Linked DNA regions of Sus scrofa. The protein of the gene in region 3 purifies or fractionates together with the protein of the main gene of each other region. This does not show direct contact. Links are inferred from orthologs where the notes say so. Each region holds a gene or a part of one and is shown on either strand. Other genes may lie near its edges.

What was found. The genes of interacting proteins can lie anywhere in the genome.
Region 1: the proteins of WDR62 (region 3) and CEP170 purify together in Homo sapiens (affinity purification with mass spectrometry; 3 studies listed by BioGRID and IntAct, with this or other methods). This does not show direct contact. The link is inferred for Sus scrofa from reciprocal best matches to the Homo sapiens genes WDR62 and CEP170.
Region 2: the proteins of WDR62 (region 3) and MAPK8 purify together in Homo sapiens (affinity purification with mass spectrometry; 5 studies listed by BioGRID and IntAct, counting the BioPlex papers as one, with this or other methods). This does not show direct contact. The link is inferred for Sus scrofa from reciprocal best matches to the Homo sapiens genes WDR62 and MAPK8.

Annotation. Positions count from the first base shown.
Region 1 is NC_010452.4:16,072,086-16,076,536, forward strand, and holds part of CEP170 (centrosomal protein of 170 kDa), read right to left. Parts: intron 2,167-4,451; coding exon 2,073-2,166; intron 1,360-2,072; coding exon 1,308-1,359; intron 1-1,307.
Region 2 is NC_010456.5:89,089,525-89,093,975, reverse strand, and holds part of MAPK8 (mitogen-activated protein kinase 8), read right to left. Parts: intron 3,265-4,451; coding exon 3,099-3,264; intron 65-3,098; coding exon 1-64. UniProt on the Homo sapiens protein: Serine/threonine-protein kinase involved in various processes such as cell proliferation, differentiation, migration, transformation and programmed cell death.
Region 3 is NC_010448.4:45,456,283-45,460,733, reverse strand, and holds part of WDR62 (WD repeat-containing protein 62), read right to left. Parts: intron 1,684-4,451; coding exon 1,616-1,683; intron 1,542-1,615; coding exon 1,420-1,541; intron 670-1,419; coding exon 594-669; intron 1-593. UniProt on the Homo sapiens protein: Required for cerebral cortical development. Plays a role in neuronal proliferation and migration.

The DNA.
Region 1 (4,451 bases), on a different chromosome or scaffold from region 3:
TTTCTTCTTTTCTCCCTCCTCTCTGGTGCCTGTGTCCAATCCACACTCAATTCTTGTAGTTCAGCCAAATGACTATTATTTACATTAGAACATAAGTTCATGTGGGTTATACCAAAAATATAATTTAAGAATTATCAAATCATGTAAATAATGCTAATTGGCAGTAAGCATTATCAGCTACACACACACACACACACACACACACACACACACACTTTAATATATTATTTAATATAATTAATTTATTTTAGGGCTGCACCTGCAGTATATGGAAATTCCCAGGCCAGGGGCTGAACTGGAGCTGTAGCCACTGGTCTATGCCAGTGGCAGCAACCTACACTGCAGCTCACAGCAATGCCGGATCCTTAACCCATGGAGAGGGGCCAGGGAACGAACCCGCGTCCTCATGGATACTGTCCGGTTCATTACTACTGAGCCACAACAGAACTCCCTAATACATTATTTATATGTTTTTCAATAACAGCATCTATATATAAAAATATTAGAGCCTATATATAATACTGTGAATTATAACATCTATCCTATATGCCTAGGATTAAACTTTCTTCTATTTTAAATTATTCATACTAGGTTTTAAAACCTCCTTTATATGAAAAATTTGAATATGCAGAATCTGTATCTTTTTTTCTTTTTTTTTGGCCACACCTGCAGCATATGGAAACTCCCGTGCCAGGAGTTGAATCTGAGCTGCAGCTGCTGGCCTATGCCACAGCCCTGGCAACACCAGATCCAAGCCACAAATGCAACCTATGCTGCAGCTTGCAGCAATGCCAGATTCTTAACCTACTGAGAGAAACCAGGGATCTAACTGGCATCCTCCTGGAGACATCAGGTCCTTAACCAATGGAGCCACAACAGGAACTCCCAGAATCTATATCTTTATCTATACATCATTACACTTAATCACATAGTGTTCTTTTTTTTTTTGGTCTTTTGCTATTTCTTGGGCTGCTCCCGCGGCATATGGAGGTTCCCAGGCTAGGGGTCCAATCGGAGCTGTAGCCACCGGCCTACGCCAGAGCCACAGCAACGCGGGATCCGAGCCGCGTCTGCAACCTACACCACAGCTCATGGCAACGCCGGATCGTTAACCCACTGAACAAGGGCAGGGACCGAACCCGAAACCTCATGGTTCCTAGTCGGATTCGTTAACCATAACCACTGTGCCACAACGTGAACTCCAATAACATAGTGTTCTAATAGTCAATACTACTTTAGAAATACCACTTAGAAGGTACTTGTCCCAAATCATTAGCTCTTTATACTAAATTCAGTAGCAAATTTACCTTGTAGCTGCTTTTCAACTCTTTTTAGTTCCTGTAAGATTGAAGAGATCTCCTGTAGAGAAAATAGTAACAAAAATTAGCTTACTTTAATCAAAACATTTTTGTTTGATAAGCAATGAACCTCACACTCCTCTTATCTGGAATCCTTCATATTATCTACATGGCTTTACATCTGTAGCAACAGGATATGAAATAATCATGATCTCCAATAAATGAGATTCAAATTTTAAAATCTTTAATGTTGAAACAGTCTTTTTAAAAATGAGATGATGACAGATGATGAAAAGTTCAAAATAATATTCTATAAGCAAATATTTTGAAAACTTGTACTGACCAACCTTGCAACACCTTTGTAAAAGTGCTTGCGGGTTTTCCTTGGAAAATTCATAGACTGTTGGGATAACTCCCTGAACAAGAAAAACCTGCACAAACCCTTGGGGAGGAAACAAGCAATCTAGATGAAGGAAATGGAAATGACTCATGTCAACTTGTATTTGAGTTTGGCTCTTATTTCAAAATGGCTTATTTATAATCTATAATTATCACAAGAACAAGAGTATGTAATTCTGAGACCCCACACCCTCAAGAACTTTGAAACAAGCAACATGTTAAACCTCTGTGAGAGACAGTGAAGGCATAAAATTTCCCAAATTTGTACACTTATATCTTCTTTTATACATCAACAGGTAAAAAATAAGCATGCCATTCCCTGAAAGCAAAACCCTCCTTTCAAAATGTTTTAAGAGTCAAGAAAAACGACCATACCATACTTGAGGTTTTCACAATAGGGACTTCACTTTCGGCTCTTAACTTGCTTTCTATTTCATCCCAATTCCGATCTTTGTCTTTAAATAATATTCTATAAAGCAAAAACACAGGCATTTTACTTTTCGCATTTAAAAAAAATCTATCACATTTTAATGATAACACAAAGCTACAGAAGAATAAAGAAACCACTAAATATTACATGAATTGTAAATTCAATACTGAACCAACATTACCAATAAACGCACTTATCTTAAGAGAATTTGTACTAAAAAAGTAACTGGCTATGAATACACACATAAACCCTTTAAGTGCTTATCTAATCCTTTATTGAAAACCATCTGATAAGAGTTTAATATCCAAAACAGATAAAGAACTCATACAATTCAATAGCAAAAAACCCAATAAAACCCAATTAAAAAATGGGCAAAGGACATGCAGAGATATTTCTCCAAAGAAGATATACAAAGGGCCATTAGGTACACAAAAAGATGCTGAACACCACTAGCCATGAAGGAAATGCAAATTAAAACCACAAGGAGATGGCACCTCTTGCCTGTTAGAATGATCATTATCCAAAAGGCAAGAGATAACAAAGGCTGATGGGGAGAAAAGGGAACCCTTGTGCTTTGCTGGTGGGACTGTAAATTGGTACAACCACTATGGTTTTTTGCGGAAGCGCCTCAAAAAATTAAAAGTAATACTACTATATGATCCACCAATTTCACTTCTGGGAATATATCCAAAAAAAAAAAAAAAGGAAACACTTGAAAAGATCTCTGTACCCACTGTGATCACAGCAGCATTATTTATAACAGCAAGGATATGGAAACAACCGAGGTGTCCACCAACGGATGAATGGATAAAGAAGATGTGTGTGTGTGGGGGGGTGTGTGTATAAACATTATTCAGCCACAGAAAAGAGGAAATGCATTTTCAACAACATGGATGGGCCTTGAAGGCATTATGCTAAGTGCAATGAGAGAGAAAGAGACAGATACATTATGGTCTCACTTATAGTGAAACCCAAACCAAAAACAATAACAAACAAAATCCCCAGACTCATAGAAAAAGAGAACAGACTTGTGGTTACAAGGCAGAAGGTCCAGGGAGGAGGAATTAGCAGGAGGTGGCCATGAGGACAAACCTCTAGGCACTTGTTGTCAAGAGCGCAAAACCCAAGCGTGAGCACAGACCAGAAACTATTTTTCTTTTTTCTTTCATTTTTGTATTGTGTCTATATGAGAAGAGAGAAGTCAGCTGAACTTACAGTGGCCATCACTTCACAATATATATGTAAATCAAACCATCATGTTGTTCGCCTGAAGCTTATACAGTGATGTAGGCCAATCAGTTCTGAGTAAAACTGCAGATTAAAAAATATCAGTGAAGCATATCAAGTCCCTCTAAATCTGGCTGGAATATGAGGCATGATGCCTTGAGAGTTAAAAAGCAACTGAATGTTTGGCTTTTCTTAAGGAGCGCGTTTATTTTATTATTTGATTTTATTTTAATTCATTAATTAATTTTAGTGCCACACCTGCAGCATAGGGAAGTTCCCAGGCTAGGGGTGGCACTGGAGCTGTAGCTGCTGGCCTATGCCACAACCACAGCCACGCCAGATCCGAGATGCATCTGCGACCTATGCAGGAGCCAACACCGGATGCTTAGCCCACTGATCCATGCCAGGGATTGAATGGGCAGCCTCATGCATGCTAGTCAGGTTCTTAACCAGCTGAGCCACAATGGGAACTCTGCACTGTTTTCATTTGAATCACACCCAATGGTCAGGGCATTAGCGCTCTAAGGTCTCCTTAGGTGGGGTAGGGTGTTTGTGTTCCTTTAATGGCTACGTCATCCCCAAGTCTGCTGATCCCATCTTCTGTCACAAGTAAGGGAGCTCTCCTCATGTGAGGCTCTGTCCTCCTCTGATCTCCTAATCAAGTGTGTGCCCAGAGACAAATGAAGCCCTCCCTTCCCTGGGGTAAAGCCCAACTGTAATTTGCAGGAAAAAAAAAAAGCCTAATCAGTTAGTCATTTACATAGAATTAACAAACCGTAGGGCCTCCTCTCTTGTCTAAGTGATTAATACGAGGAGTCATGCCTTGAGCTTGGTTCAAGTACTCAGTGTAGTTCAAGAGGAAACATAATTGCTATCGCTTTGAATTTAATGCCACAGAAGGTAGAGTCTAAAGCTAAGACATGATGGAGGGTTGTTATTATTATTATTATTATTTGGTCTTTTTGCCATTTCTTGGGCCGCCCCTGCGACATACGGAGTTTCCCAGGCTAGGGGTCCATTCGGAGCTGTAGCCACCGGCCTACACCACAGCCACAGCAATGCAGGATCCAAGCCGCATCTGCAACCTACACAACAAC
Region 2 (4,451 bases), on a different chromosome or scaffold from region 3:
CCTGGAAAGAGGATTTTGTGGCAAACCATTTCTCCCATAATGCACCCCACAGACCATAAATCCACTATATGTTTGCAGCACAAAAGAAGGAAAAGCAAAGCAAAAGGTCATTAAAATCAAAGAAGCATAATATGACTGCGTTATATTAAAAACTGCAAAACATCACAAAGAAAAAAGTGATTTTAATTTTAGCTAATGGAATAACTAAAAACAAAGTATTTTTTCAAAAGGCTTTTTGATTCACAAAAGCAAATGTGAAATGTGGCCTTTTTACTGTATCTAATTTTAAAGTGAGAGCTATGCACAGAAACTACATAACTGAAAAAAACCTATATATTTTGTTTCTGAAAATTTGTTTATAAAATACAAAAAAGAAATGAACACAAATCTTACAAATAAGGCTGAAAATGTACATGAGTAGCAAAATTTAAAAAAAAAATCTTGATTCTATTTTGTGGTTCAACTGTGCATTATACTCTCTCTTTAAGTCAAATAAAAGAAAAAAGCATGAGCAGAAATAATCTAGTATATTAAAATATTTAACAGAAATGCTTCTATGAATAATCACAGTTAAAAAATTAATCTAAAGCTCTTTAGAAATTTTCATATTGTATTTTATAAATTTGTTTTGAGAAGTGTTATGTTTATTCTGAGTTGAAAGTAATTTGCCTTCTTGGCAACATCATGCTGCATTTACTCTACTACCCTAACACGTGCATACAGAACAAACAATCAAATTAAGAAAATTTAATAAAAAGAAGTATATTTCACATGTTTTTCACTGAAAGTTTTTTAAACCCCTATAACCAAACTGGTTTAAGAAGTTAGTTTTGGTTGAATATGTATGAAAAGTCCCCAAAGATTTATTATCTACAGTCTCCTAGAGGACTTCCTGACTCTTGTCAACTTTAAATGAGAGCTTGAATCAATGCTGAGATGAATCTGCCAGGCACAGAAATGAGCAATTTGAGGTTCTCCACCTGTTCATTAAAACAATGTACCCGGACATTTTATATTTGAGTCTGAAAATCAGATAAAAAGAGCAGGTGCTTGTAGTTTAATATAAGAGGGGAAGAATGAGCAATGTGAAAGGAAAGTTTTAGAAACTTGCATTTGTTTAAGTTTGAAGGCCCCATTCTTTAATAGCAAAAGAGGAAAAGCACAAGAATAGATGTTAGAGATAGACTCTTTACCTATGCAAGAGAACTTTGGGAAAGTCTGTATTTTCTAAAATACTCAGTAAGGAGACTACCAATTCATTACACAATTTTAGAAGCTAAATTAAGAACAAATTTTAGAAATCCTATGGAACTAAAGTTTCTCTAAAATTTCACATTAAAATACAAACAAATCTTTTAATATCCATGGCATGATTCAACTTTCAAGAATAAATATTTAGAGGAAAATTAATATTCCCAAATCAGTAGTTCAGAAAGTATTTTTCCCAGGGTGTTTGGAAAAAAATCTATCACAATAATTTTTCCCTATGGCTTTTATAGAGAATAGCAAGCTTTAGTTAAATATCCAGGACACAATTTATGAAGGTAATCTTTAAAAAAGTGTATCTTAAAAAAAAAAAAAGATTTCAAAAGCTGCAATCATGAGAGAAGATACTGTCTGAGTCACTACTTTCCCCAGAAAAGGAAAAGCTTGATTCATACAAAAACTTGCTTTTACAGGGTCTAACTGCTTAGTCCATTGGGCAGTTTAAATATATTCCATTATCTCACACTTTTCAAAAAGCTTTGAGGTAGCTTGCAATAAAAGACATTAAAAGAACGAAGTTCTTAAGTTAAAACTTGCTGGCTAATGAAATTATCAGAATCAAGCATTATACTGACAGTTTCTTTGGGCAAAAAAAGGCAACAAGGTGATCTATATAATTCTTATCTAAGAAAAGAAAGCTCATCAATTCTTCATAAGATGGTTTTTCTTGGTGTTAATTTCTGGTAGGGAGCTCTCAAGATCACAGCCCAGAGTGACCCTTTATATATATTATCTGTGACAATCAATGGTTTCATAGCAAATGCAAAAGCAATCTTCATGCTGGTCACTTAAAGTATCAATTCTCAAAAAAAATTTTAAAATGTCTAATACTAAATCTAACTCACTAGATTCTATAGGGTATACAGTAATTTTAGGTAAGGAGAAAGATGACAGAACAGCATATTTAAAAACAAAAGAATAATAGCAAATGTTCAATTAGCTCAGAAAAGTAAACGAAGCTAAAATTCTTTTTACAAAATATCTTTTTATAACAGATAACTCAATGTTATCGTTTATAAAAATGAATCCCAAAGGTTAACTTGATGCAATTTCCTGTTTCAAAGTGAACTGCTGTTTTAGATTCTTTGCTAGAAAAAAATGTCCAAGTCTTATTCTATGAAATATCCTGAATTGAGTTGCCACATTTAAGTCAATAAACTCCTGTGCAGATTTATTCATCTCCTAAATGACTAAGATTTAACAAAATTTCTTAAGTATAAATATATATATGTATAATTTTTTTTAATTCATGAACTGCATGCCTGATAATTTTCTTCAACTTTGATTAGTGCTGATATATATAATTGACCTTACCTGCACAGAATAATACCATTTCTCTAAAGCTGGTCACAAGGGTCCAAAAGGTCACCTTAAATTATCCATCAGCATACAGAATGTCCTTATTATAGCTCTTAAAGTTTGTAGTAAGTGTTACTGCTATTAACTTCAATGTCACAAGATTGGAAATGTGTGCAAATATCACCAATGCAAATTTATCTATTGGTTCACTATATGGCTCCTTGAGCCCACGTCAGAATGCTCATTTTCAAGGTATAAGCAAGCAAATGGTATATGCTCTGTTACAGGGGCCATGGCAACAAATGCTTTATCCAATGGTAGTGTTGTTGGTTATTTGTATTTAAATAAACAGGGGCCCCAAGTTTTTCTAAAAATTTAAAAAAGAATTGTAGTTACTGTCAAACTCTTGATAAACATTTCAAACACCAATATACCTTTAACTCTATGCATTTCAATGTAAGTATTTACACAAGAAATCTTACAAACGAAAGCAAATAACACAGAACCGTATTTCAGATAAATAGTATGCTGACCGTTTTCTTTGTAGCCCATCCCTAGGATGACCTCAGGTGCTCTGTAGTAGCGAGTCACTACGTAAGGTGTCATCATAAAACTAGTTCCTGCAGTCCTGGCCAGTCCAAAGTCAAGAATCTTCAAAGTGCAGTCTGATTTTACCACTATATTACTGGGCTTTAAGTCCTTCAAAAATAAAAATAAAAAATGACTGCTATGATATAAACAAATATTCTGCAGTCCACAAGATAGTAGATCACTTGTAAAACAATTCAGGCTAATTGCTCATTTTTTCACTGTAATTGTTACCACTGCACAGATTCATCACTATAGGCAAATTTGAGACATCAGCTTGAGAACATTTCTAATTTATGAATAGTTATTAGAGAAGTTAATAATGTTTTATTTGCTAGATATTAAGATTAGCTAGAAATTTTCCATCAGTGGAGTAAAAGTGATTCAGAAAGGCATCTTAAAGATCACATAAGAACTATTATAGGAGTTCCTGTCATGGCGCAGCAGAAACGAATACGGCTAGGAACCATGAGGCTGTGGGTTCAATCCCTGGCCTCACTCAGTGGGTTAAGGATCCAGCGTTGCCATGAGCTGTGGTATAGGTTGCAGACATGGCACTGCTGTGGCTGTGGCTGGCAGCTGTAGCTCCAATTAGACCCCTAGCCTGGGAACCTCCATGTGCCATGGGTGTGGCCCTAAAAAGACAATTAAAAAAAAAAAAGAAAAAAGAGATTATAGTAAAAGAGAGAATCATAAGTTAACATGTATATTCACTTGTACACTAAATTACCTACTTTTAAAAGATCTTATTTTTTTTTTTTTTGGCCATGCCCATGGCATGTGGAACCTGAGCCACAACTGTGACCCAAGCCACTGCAGTGACAAGGCCAGATCCTTAACCTGCTACACCACAGCAGAACTCCCAAAGATCTCATTTTAAAGTCACAATAAGTTGTATACATCAATAATGGGCCATTCTAAGCACATGTCATTTGACCTTTCAAATCAGCAGATGTCCTAAGCAAAACATTCTCTAACAAACTATATAAATGTTTTCTTAGGTCAGTCTCCCAAGGCAATAAAAATAAAAACAAAAATAAATGAGACCTAATCAAACTTATGAGCTTTTGTACAGCAAAGGAAACCATTAGGACAAAAAAAAAAAAAAAAAAAAAAAAAAAGACAAACAATGGAATGGGAGAAAAGACTTGCTAATGATGCTACCGACAAGGGCTTAAACTCCAAAATATCCAAACAACTCAGCAACAAAAAAACAAATAACACAACTGAAAAAATGGCCAGAAGACCTAAAGGAGACATTTCTCCTAAGAAGGTATATGGATGGCCAGAGGCACATG
Region 3 (4,451 bases):
CCCTCCACAGGCGAAACGACCAGCCATGGCAATGGTACTAACGGCAACCAGGCTCCGTGCTGAGCACTGTACGTGTGTGAACCTATTTCCTCCACAGAACTCTCTGATAGAGGCTTCTTTGCATTTTACAGATGATGAAACAGGTTGAGAATAGATGACATTTGCCCAAGGTCACAGGCAGCCTGAGGCAGAGCTGTTAAGAGGGTCTGACCCTGAAGCCTAAACTCCTTGTCCAGAGGCCCCTAAGAAGGCTCCCACCTCGTCCTGGATGACACAGGCAGGGAGCAAGGCTGGAGAGGGACCCCAGGTCTCTCGGATTCTTCCCACACCCCGCTCTACTGACACTCAAGATGGAAACCACTTAAATGGCTCCGCTTGGGGCAGGGTTCAGTAAATAAAGGTAGAGCAATCAGGGCTGGCTCCCCGCATCCTTGGTCAGCCAGGCCTTAGTGGATACTGGCCAGGGTGTGATCTACGGATCAGGTGCCAAGGAGGACGCAAGTCTCAGGCGGCCTAGCAGGGGAGAAGACAGAGAGGGGGGCCTTGTGTGTGGCTGTGTGTGCGGCTTTCACCCGGGAGCCCCAGTTTCTTACCTTCAACAGGGACCCTTCATCTCCCTGGGAGCCCTTGTAGCACTTCTTCTGCTTCCCGTTCACGGTGTTGTAGACTCTAGGAAGGTGGGGGGCATAAGTGACTAACCTGGCCCTGCCCACTCACCCTCTCCTGTCCTCTGGATCCAGCCTTACCTGCTCCCTCCTTTCCCCTGGAAGTCCCCATTCCTCCTATCCCCCATCTAATGTCTGGGCTGAAACCCCATGCCGGGGAATGTGACCTCATCCCAGGCTGGGTCACAGAGGCTATGTACTGGGTGTCCCTTGAGTTCATGTCTGCCTCCCCGTCCATAGCAAGCTGAGGGCCTGGCATCCAGTTCGAATGAGCAAATGAAGGTGGTGGAGAAGCTCTCTGCACATGCTCATTCCTCCCCATCCTCCCGGGCTAAGCTCAGCCGTCCCTTCCAACAGGCCCTTTCCACAAGCTCCTGTTGTCCCAGCTCTGGTCACTCTGTGCTGTCACAGTCTGGGGAGGTTCTCTCTCTTCCACTCCACATGACTTTCCCACTGTCCCTTCTAGACAGCTGCTCAGGAAACAAGGGTGAGTGAATAAGTCTACGAGCCACATCAGCACCTCTCAGTCACCCCACACAGGCTCCTGAGAGCCAGGGGAACCCTCGGCTGACCTGGGTGAGCCCAGCTCCTAAGAAACACCCACACGGTCCCTCCACCCCACCCTGCTTCAGGGACCAGATAAGCAGGAGGAAAGCAAGCAGCCCATGAGAAGACAGGCCCAACTAGGCCCCTACAGGCCCCGCTCAGAAACCAGCCCAGGCCAAGCCAACTCAGAAGCCAGGACTGCCCTCACCTGACGTTGCGGTCCTGGCAGGCCACGGCCACATACTTCTGGGTAATGTCAATGTCCATGTCATACAGGGTGGTCTTCTCTGCCACGTGGTGGGTACGGACGAAGTGCAGTCCATCCGAGGCCTGGCAGGGCAGGCAGGGCCTTCAGAGGACGCCCCTGACAAGCCCCCTACCCCAAGGAGGCCACCCCACGCTACCTGCTGGGCACTGCGGAAGTAGATGCTCTTGTCGGCACCACAGCTGATCATCTGGATGTCTCTGCTGCCTGGAGGAAGGAGCAGTGTACTAGGCAGGGCTGGGCCACCGCTGGGCTGCAGATCCTAGCTAGGGAAACTACCGCAAGGGAACTCTGCTGGGGGTCAGAGGGGGCTTCGTGGAAGAGGTGAGGTGAGTGCTGGGGTTCGTGGAAGAGGTGCGGTGAGTGGTAGAGCCGTGTGTGTGTGTGGGGACACAGGGAGCAGTGGGCTGCAGGCCTCTGCAGAGCAACAGCAGGTAGGGAAGCAGAGGCCAGGACGCAGCAGGGGCACCATGTTTCATGTGGGATTTGGAGAGGTGACTTGGGTTGCAGCATGGAGGTGGGACTGAACAGAAGAGAGGAGACAGGCAGACCTCTGGGAGGCTCACACTATCAAGAACAATCAGAATATCCACACATTCCTCGGTCCAGGGCCTGCACTGCCTGCGCCTCCCCTTCCTGTCACCAGCCACTGCGTTGCACAAATGGGAACCCAGGGGCTCAGCGTCACACAGTCCTTGTCCCAGGGTGCAGCGTCAGGACCGGGCCAGGGCTGAACCCAGGCAAGCTCTGGTTAAACACTGCTCTGTAGCCAGGCTTCCTCTCTGAGCCTCAGCTTCCAGCCTGTTTAACGAGCCTCCTTCACCGTGGAGCGGCGTGAAGCTCTAGGGACAATGGTTGCCACCTGGTAAGCACTACTGGCGTGGCGTTGCTTTTATCCTTCTTTCTTTATAAAATAACAATAATCACAGCACAAATACCTCAGAGAGTTGTAGTGAGAATGAAAAGACAGAACACACTGCTCCTTCATGACAGGACTTTTGAAGAGCGTCCGGGCCTGACATGCAAGTTAAGGTGTTGCTCAGGCAGGAGTTAGCAGATCACGGAAGGGGGTGTGTGTTGGGGGCTGGAGGGAGGGGGACTGGGACCCAGGAGGGACCCAGAGAGGGCCTGCAAGTCACTGGTAATGTTTTGCTTCTTTACCCAGGGTGGTGAGTCCAAGTATTTAGCAATACTGGGACCAGGACCAATCAGAACAGTTGCTGGCTGTAAACAATGCGTGTCTGGCATGGTTCAAACCTACCAGCTATGACCCTTGATGTGGACACTCACTGAAGGAGTCTGTGAACTAGTAACAGGTTTTCTGTGTATTTTTGGATGTGTATTTCACTGACTCATTTTTTTAGCTAGGTAGCTCCAGACAGTTTCTGACTGGCTGGAGCCCAGTTTCTATGAACTATCAACGTTTTGAGGACAAGGCCCAGGCGAGCCAGCCCAGTCGGAGCAGGGTTCACAGGAGTTTGCTTTAGGATGCGCCTCCTCAGCCTGGCTGGGACTTTACCAGAGGCCCACACCTTCTGAAGGTGGCCTCAAGGACTGACTCTTGGGCCACCCTCTTGGGCAGTCATCACCTCTCTAGGATCTAGACCATTCTTTAAAGGTGAGGTCACTGCTGGCCAAACTTCCAGGTTTACTGAACAATTCTAACTACCCTGTGGAAAGAATGGTCTTTTAAGGATGTCTGAGAAGTCTGAGCAGATGAGCTTTTGTTAGATCCTCACTAAGACATTGCAAATATTGTTGACCCGTTTTGGCCCAGCTCCTGACCACCTTAGTTAGACAGAGGCAGGGCAGGAAGCGAGAAAACCAAGGCACATTAGTACATTCTTAGCCGCAAGATTATGTGAAGGAAACTCTTCATGGTTGAGAACTTGGAGTACACAGATGTATTCTCTCCATGAATGGAATCTTTTTTTTTTTTTTTTTTTTTTTTTTTTGGTTTTTAAGGCCACACTTGCAGCACATGGAGGTTCCCAGGCTAGGGGTCTAATCGAAGCTACAGCTGCCAGCCTACACCACAGCCACAGCAACACCAGATCCGAGCAGCATCTTCGACCCACACCACAGCTCATGGCAACACTGGATCCTTAACCCACTGAGCGAGGCCAAGGGTCAAACCTGCAACCTCATGGTTCCTGGTCGGATTCGTTTCTGCTGCGCCTCGACGGGAACTCCGGATTCTTCTTGAATACAGTTTTGAATATGTTCCTAGGTTCTAATCAGTTAAACCCCCATGAGGCCTACATGCTCTTCTCTTGGAATTCCTCATGGCCAGGGATCTCCACACTCAATCTTTCCAGTCTTGGAGGGATCCCTTCAATTGCTGGGTTGAGCACAGGCTTTGAAGGACAGCCTTATGCCAAATACCAGGCCTGCACCTACTGGCTGTGTCCCTGGCTGTAAAGGGGATAAGGAGGTGGGTAACTGCTGGGATGGGCAAGGACCATCACCCAGCACAGAATTTGCCTCCAGCCATGGCTGCTGTCACCCATTTTTCTGCCAAAGTCACCAGCACCCATCCCACCCTGGATTGGCACCCTGACTGCCTTCTGGGGACCAGTTCTCATCTAATGCCAGTCCTCCTGGATGCAGATGGAGGCAGGTGGGGGCTGGGGGCACATGAGTCAGACCTGGCCCAAGAGAACACCCCTAAGCTCTGGCACCGATAACTATTCTGGAAAGGACAAGCGCCTCAAGCCAGCACAAGGGAAGTTGGCTCCCAATTTCTGCCAAAACTGACAGCACAAGGGAAAATCTCTTTCCAGTGGCATAGCGACCACCAGGATCCTGTCCACCAGAGAAAGGACAGATGACAGAGGGAGAGTCCTAATAATTAAGAAAAAGAAAAAATCAACCTTTGGATCCAGTTGTGCTTGAATCCAGAGCTTGCCTCTCCCTTTTGTTTAAGCTAAAGGGGGCTTTGTTGTTACGTGCAGCCAAAGGAGCCCATCTAATGA